Callithrix jacchus: one gene and its partner. The protein of the gene in region 2 interacts with the protein of the main gene of each other region in a pairwise test. Links are inferred from orthologs where the notes say so. Each region holds a gene or a part of one and is shown on either strand. Other genes may lie near its edges. The genes, in order: RFC5 and TRIM38.

What was found.
Region 1: the proteins of TRIM38 (region 2) and RFC5 interact in binary tests that used the Homo sapiens proteins (3 or more experiments, as listed by UniProt). The link is inferred for Callithrix jacchus from reciprocal best matches to the Homo sapiens genes TRIM38 and RFC5.

The regions. Positions count from the first base shown.
Region 1 is NC_133510.1:121,075,666-121,079,484, forward strand, and holds part of RFC5 (replication factor C subunit 5), read left to right. Parts: intron 1-471; coding exon 472-608; intron 609-2,167; coding exon 2,168-2,247; intron 2,248-3,522; coding exon 3,523-3,596; intron 3,597-3,819. UniProt on the Homo sapiens protein: Subunit of the replication factor C (RFC) complex which acts during elongation of primed DNA templates by DNA polymerases delta and epsilon, and is necessary for ATP-dependent loading of proliferating cell nuclear antigen (PCNA) onto primed DNA.
Region 2 is NC_133505.1:4,708,761-4,712,112, reverse strand, and holds the end of TRIM38 (E3 ubiquitin-protein ligase TRIM38), read left to right. Parts: intron 1-1,108; coding exon 1,109-1,632; 3' UTR 1,633-2,759; downstream 2,760-3,352. UniProt on the Homo sapiens protein: E3 ubiquitin-protein and E3 SUMO-protein ligase that acts as a regulator of innate immunity. Acts as a negative regulator of type I interferon IFN-beta production by catalyzing 'Lys-48'-linked polyubiquitination of AZI2/NAP1, leading to its degradation.

The DNA of each region.
Region 1 (3,819 bases), on a different chromosome or scaffold from region 2:
GCTCTTGTCCTGGTTGAAGGATCTGTATAAATTTCTTGGTGGTGATGTCTCTCCTAAGTAATAACTTCAGAGAATCTGATTGAGCTTAATAGAATGTGGCTTTAAGATTGTTCATTCATTTTCTTCAGGTAGCTACAGTCTAGTGGGTAAGTCATAAACATGAGCATAAAATTGCAACACAGTAGAGTAAAAATAGCATTACAGAGAATCATTTAAGTTCAAAGATGTTGCCAGCACCCAGAAAAGTGCCTGTAACACAGTAGGCACTCAGTAAATACTTGACTGGCTGCATTACTGAGTGAATTCCAATTGCACCAGGAATACAGAGACAAGGCCCCTACGTCAAGTTGTATCTGCCTCTGATTTAGACATTGAATTGGGTTGAAGAGCTTTCAGCCCAACTCAGGGACCTGGCGTGAATGAGGCAGCTCCCAAACACTGATGGTGCCCTCCTTTCTTCCCAATCCTCAGTTCAGAAATTTATCAGTGAAGACCGACTGCCACACTTGCTTCTCTATGGCCCCCCAGGGACAGGCAAGACATCCACCATCCTAGCCTGTGCGAAGCAGCTATATAAAGACAAAGAATTTGGCTCCATGGTCTTGGAGGTAAATAAGATTGTTCTTACTCTACATATAACTTAGGACTCCAGTCTCTTAATTTCAGTTCTGCTGGTTTTATTTTACTTTAAAAGTGAGTTGCCCCACAGGCAGTTAGGAAAGAAAGAAATTTGAAATAAGATGTTTTAATTCACTTTTTTCTGTAATGGCCATTTTGGTCTGGATTCGCTTTGGTCAGCTAGAGGGCAGTTGTGGGGCTAAGCACTTTTTCTTTGCTGTTGCCAACCTCTACCCAAACCCTGCTTATGGTTACTTGGTTGTTGCCTGCCCGCCATGGCCCCTCCGGATCAATTCTCCACCCTATTCTTGCCCAGAAGGCTGAGCTCTACCGACTAGAAGCTCACTTACCCTCTGGCTCCTGGTTGGGATTGGTCAAGAGGGGCCCTGGCAGGGATAGGGAAGGAAGTGAGTGATGCCTGGACCTTCTCTGGGGGCTGACACCACCGGCAGCATGGCCCACCTGTAGGGTACATCTCACAGGTGGTACCTGTCCGGTAGCCCTCTCCAGTTGCCTAGAGCCACTCCCTTCACTAACCCCTTCAGGCCCAAAGGCGACAGGGATCACATAGCCCCGTGATTTTCCCATATCACATCTTTTAAAAGATCTTTTAAAAGATCTCCTGGGCTGGGTGTAGTGACTCACACCTGTAATCCCAACACTTTGGGAGGCTGAGGCGAGTGGATTGCCTGAGGTCAGGAATTCGAGACCACCCTGGCCGACATGGCAAAACCCCATCTCTAATTTAAAAATATATTAAAAATTAGCCAGGCGACTTTGGGAGACCAAGGTGGGTGGATCACCTGAGGTCAGGAGTTCAAGACCAGCCTGGCTATCATGGTGAATGCCCATCTTAACATTAAAAAATTAAAAAAAATTTTTTAAAGAAAAAAAAAATTAGCCAGGCAAGGTGGCAGACACCTGTAATCCCAGCTACTCAGGAAGCTGAGGAAGAAGAATCGCTGGAACCTAGGAGGCAAGTGTTGCAGTGAGCTGAGATCGTGCCATTGCATTGCAGCCTGGGTAACGAGTGAAACTCCGTCTCAAAAAAAAAAAAATAGATCTCCTTGTTTAGTTCTCTGCAAATTGCTGAGTATGCCATCTGTATATTGCTGAGACCTTGACTAATATACTTAGATTCAAAAAGCTGAGTATTGTCTGTTGCAAGAAAAGAATGTTTATCTTACTTTTTAGACGTGGGTGTCAGAACTTTGCTGCTACTAATGTCCTTATTTCGGTTTAGTAAGCACTTGGTAACCTTGGGATTGTGGTAGTTAAGTTTGGATCATTCTGCTCATACCAGAGGTGCTGCTCAGTGTAACCATACCCAGTAATTATTTCTCCAGTTTATGTAAGAGTCCGTGTCCTCAAAGGGCGGGGATAATAAAGACATCTGCCTTTCGGAATGTAAGGTAATGAGTAGTGAGTTTTGTTAGACATAGAGAGCTAGTCCGCTGAGCTGGACTAATGAAGAGATGCACTGAAGCCCAGAACTCGTGGATAGCACAGCAGCATGCTTTGTGTTTTGACTTTTGTCTTATGCATTTAGCTGAACGCTTCAGATGACAGAGGAATAGACATCGTTCGAGGACCAATCCTGAGCTTTGCTAGCACAAGGACAATATTTAAGTAAGAATTATTTATATCATTTCTCTCCCTTGATGTTGATTAGTAAGATGATATGGTTTAATTTTTTAATCCTTTCCTTTGCCAGTTTATATGGGTTGAAAAAAAGTGACTTTGTTGAAAGCAGCCATGGAAAAGGGATAACAGGGTTGGTAGTAAGAAGCGTTATAATGCAACTATTAAAAGAAATGTTATCTCCATCTGTATATACCTGTATTACAGGTATACATTTTTTGTTGTTTGTTTGTTTGTTTGTTTGTTTGTGGAGACAGGGTCTCGCTCTATCGCCCAGGCTGGAGTGCAGGAGCATGATCTCAGCTCACTGCAACCTCCCACGCTCAAACGATCCTCCAGCCTCAGCCTCCCAAGTAGCTGGGAATACAGGCACAAGCCATCATGTCCAACTAATTTTTGTATTTTTTAGTAGACATGGGGTGTCCCCATGTTGCCTAGGCTGGTCTAGAACTCCTGAGCTCAAGCAGTCTGCCTGCCACAGCCTCCCAAAGTGCTGGGATTACAGGCGTGAGCCCAGCCTGTATTACCAAGTTCTTTAGGGAAAGATTACCTTCATTTTTAGTTCCTGGGAGCTGGTTAGATTACCCTAAGACTGGATGAGCTAGTTTGAATTTAAACAAAACTAAATTGAGATCAGGAAGGATAAGTAGGATGGTGGCTAAAAAAAAGAAAGAAAGAAAAAGGGTGAGGGCCAGGCACAGTGTCTCATGCCTATAATCCTAGGACTTTGGGAGGTCTAGGCAGTTGGATCAGCTGAGGTCACGAGTTCAAGACCAGCCTAGTCAACATAGTAAAACCTTGTCTCTACTGAAAATACAAAAATTATCTGTGCATGGTGGCAGGCACCTGTAATCCCAGCTACCCAGGAGGCAGAGGTTGCAGTGAGCTGAGATCACAGCCTGGGCAACAGAGGAAAAACTCTGTCTCAAACAAAAAGAAAAAGGGTGAGAAGACTGAGACCTGAGTGAAGGAGATGGAGAAAGCAGTTGGCATGATAGGGTACTCTGTGGAAGGAAGGCGAAGGTGCCAGAGGACACAGCACATAGAAGCAAAGAAATCCATCCTCAGTTCCCACCAAGGGTTGAAAGAGTGATGGATCATTTCCTCTCTGAGTGGCCAAAGATGTTTGCCTTGGTCAAAGTTCTAGAAGAAATAGCCTTTCTGAGAGAGGGCCTGATGGCACCAATGGGAAGATGCAGGTTTGGGTTCAGATATTGAGGTGAGATTGAAGACATCTTTAGACAGCACCATTTGTTTTTCTAGGAAAGGCTTTAAGCTGGTGATCTTGGATGAAGCAGATGCCATGACTCAGGACGCCCAGAATGCCTTGAGAAGAGGTAAGCGGAGCCACTGTGTAGCATGTGGGCTGCAGAGCACACTGGAAGGAGAATTGGGAACTTTGTTTCTTCTTGTTGTTGCTGTTCTGTTGTTTTTCCCTCTGTCTCCCAGACTGGAGTGCAGTGGCCGAATCTTGGCTCACTGCAACCTCCGCCTCCCAGGTTCAGGCAATTCTCCAACCTCAGCCTCTCAGGTGGCTGAGATTACAGGCATGTGCCACCC
Region 2 (3,352 bases):
TTTTGAACTTGAATTCCTTTATTGTCGTGGACCAGCTGATCAGTGTTTAAGCCAGTAGCACAGTGGCTTCTTCACCTTCTGGTTAGAACATCCTATTACCATTATTTATTTTTAAAACTGCATACTGTCCAGTATCTCACTTTAGGTTATCAGATTTTTTTTCTGCCTTGTTTGACTCTAGTCTGATACTTTTCATGTGTATTGATCCTCAGTGTATTGTCACCTCATGCTAATCTGTATGGAACGTTATCTGAGGGGAAAGAGAAGAGCTTATAATTAAAAGTCATGGAACTAGGCGTGTGTCCTGAGACCTGGGTCTTCCAATAACAAGCTAAGACATTAGCTGAGTCATTTTCCTTCCCTGAGTCTCAGTGTTGGTGGTTATTCAGTAGAGAAGGGAAAAGCTATCTTTATGCTCAGCTGTTTCATGATTCCTGGAAGTCTTGCATGGGAGAAGAACTTCAGACAGGATGGTGACCATATTAACTGATTAGTTCTGTACCTTGACTAAGACAAAGATGATGCTGATGACATTATTATCACTACCACTTATTAGGTGCTTACCGTGTATCAGGAATTTTACTGTGTGTTAAGTAAACATAGCATATTCAATAACACCCACGTTTCTTTGCAACAAATATGATAATTTCCACTTTATAATTAACAAAACTGAGGCTCAGAGAGTTAAATGACTTGCCTAAGCTCACGCGGTTTATAAGAAACAATACTTGGGTTTGAACACAGGCTAGTTTTATTGAAAGTAACTTGTGGCTCAGCATGGTTGCTCACACCTGTGTAATCCCAGCACTTTGGGAAGCCAAGGAGGGTGGATCACCTGAGGTCAGGAGTTCAAGACCAGCCTGGCCAACATGGCGAAACCCCACCTCTACTAAAAATATAAAAATTAGCCACTTGTGGTGGTGCAAACACTCAATTACTCAGAAGACTGAGGCGGCAGAATTGCCTGAACCCGGGAGGCAGAGGTTGCAGTGAGCCAAGATAGTGTACGACTCGGTCTCAAAAAAATAAATAAATAAATAAATAAAATACAATAACTTATGTTCTTTGCACCAACGAAAGTGGTTTTGTGTTTGTTTTGTTTTTGCAGTCAGTGTGACTCTGGATCCAGATACAGCTCATCATGAACTAATTCTGTCTGAAGATCGGAGACAAGTGACTCGAGGATACCCCCAGCAGAATCAGGACACTTCTTCCAGGAGATTTAGTGCCTTGCCCTGTGTCTTGGGTTGTGAAGGCTTCACCTCAGGAAGATGCTACTTTGAAGTGGATGTTGGAGAAGGAACTGGGTGGGATTTAGGAGTTTGTGTGGAAAATGTGCAGAGGGGCACTGGCATGAAGCAAGAGCCTCAGTTTGGATTCTGGACCCTAAGGCTGTGCAAAAAGAAAGGTTATGTAGCGCTAACTTCTCCCCCAACTTCCCTTCTTCTGCCTGAGCAGCCCCTGGTTGTGGGAGTTTTTCTGGACTGTGAGGCCGGAGTTGTATCCTTTTACAACGGGACTACTGGCTGCCACATCTTCACCTTCCCAAAGGCTTCCTTCTCTGATACTCTCCGGCCCTATTTCCAGGTTTATCATTATTCTCCTTTATTTCTGCCTCCCCTAGATGATTAAGGAAAAAAGCAGAGGCTCTTTCATTTAACCAGCCCAAAGAAAATAATGTAAATCACATAAGGGCAGAAAATTTGGTCTGTTTTCTTCACTGCCATTTCCTCAGTTCTCAGAATAGTTCTGGGATTTTAGTGGATATATAATTAATTTACGCTGAATAAATGGAGTTAGAAACTAAAAATACCGCATTTGGTTGACCTGCACTGGGACAAAGCAAGGTAGTGGTGATGATCATACGTTGCTCTATCTGTCTTTGAGGGATCAGGGCTTTGATTTCCAAGGTCTTCAGGTGATGAGTGAGGGGACCCGCAAGTCGGAGTGTCTGTGTTCTCCTAGTTCATTTCCTATCATTTGAACTCGGGGGTGATGAAAGAAAGCTGCAATTGTCTGCCAATTGCATTAAAACAAAAAGGTGGAAAATCAAAATAGCATTGACACTTCCAACCACGACAGGTTGTTTAATAATCTGAGCAGCAGTTCTGGAGGTTACCAGACCTACTGAGATCTGCCTGAGAAACAGCTGAGCAGAGTGTGAGAGAAGGGTTAAGACTAGCTTCCTGGTGTTGAATAGACAGAAGGACTGATGAAACAGAAGACAAAGTCCAGGCCTGGTGCCATGGCTCACACTTGTAATCCCAGCATTTTGGGAGGATAAGGTCACACTTGTAATCCCAGCATTTTGGGAGGATAAGGTGGGTGGATCACTTGAGGCCAGGAGTTTGAGACCAGCCTGACCAACATGGCAAATCCCCATCTCTACTAAAAATACAAAAATTAGCCAGGTGTGGTGGCAGGCGCCTGTAATCCCAGCATTTTGGGAGGATAAGGTCACACTTGTAATCCCAGCATTTTGGGAGGATAAGGTGGGTGGATCACTTGAGGCCAGGAGTTTGAGACCAGCCTGACCAACATGGCAAATCCCCATCTCTACTAAAAATACAAAAATTAGCCAGGTGTGGTGGCAGGCGCCTGTAATCCCAGCTACTCGGGAGGCTGGAGGCATGAGAATCTCTTGAACTTGCGAGGCCAAGGCTGCAGCCAAGGTCATGCCACTGTACTCCAGTGTGGGGGACAGAGCGAGACTCTGTCTAAAAAAACAAATAAAATAATAAAATACAACCTAAAACCTAGCAGTCTCAACCCTGTGATTCTATTCAATGGCACCAAGTTCAGAAGTGGTAACTGGAAACATCCAAACTTATCAAAAAGAAATGGGTCAATAACTTATGCTACTCCATATGAAGGATTTCTTTTTCTTTAATGACAGAGTTTTAGAAAAGTCTCGGCAGAAGTGTATATAACTACATTGTAAAAAATTTTTATTATTTTTGTTTTGAGACTGGATCTCACTTTGTTACTCAGGCTTGAGTGCAGTGGCACAATCTCTGCTCACTGCAGCCTCTACCTCCTGGATTCCAATCATCCTCCCACTTTAGCCTCCCAAGGAGCTGGGACTACAGGTACATGCCACTGGGCCTGGCTAATTTTTGTATTTTTTTGTAAAGACAGGGTTTCACCATGTTGCCTTGGCTGGTCTCAAACTCCTGAGCTCAAGCAATCTGCCCACCCAGCTTCCCAAAGTGCTGGGGATTACAGGTGTGAGCCACTTCACCCAGCCTTTGTTTTTTAAATTAATACTCTTAATTAAAAGACAAACCATGTATGTATACAAGGCCAGGCACAGTGACTATAATCTCAACACTTTGGGAGGCCGAGGATTGCT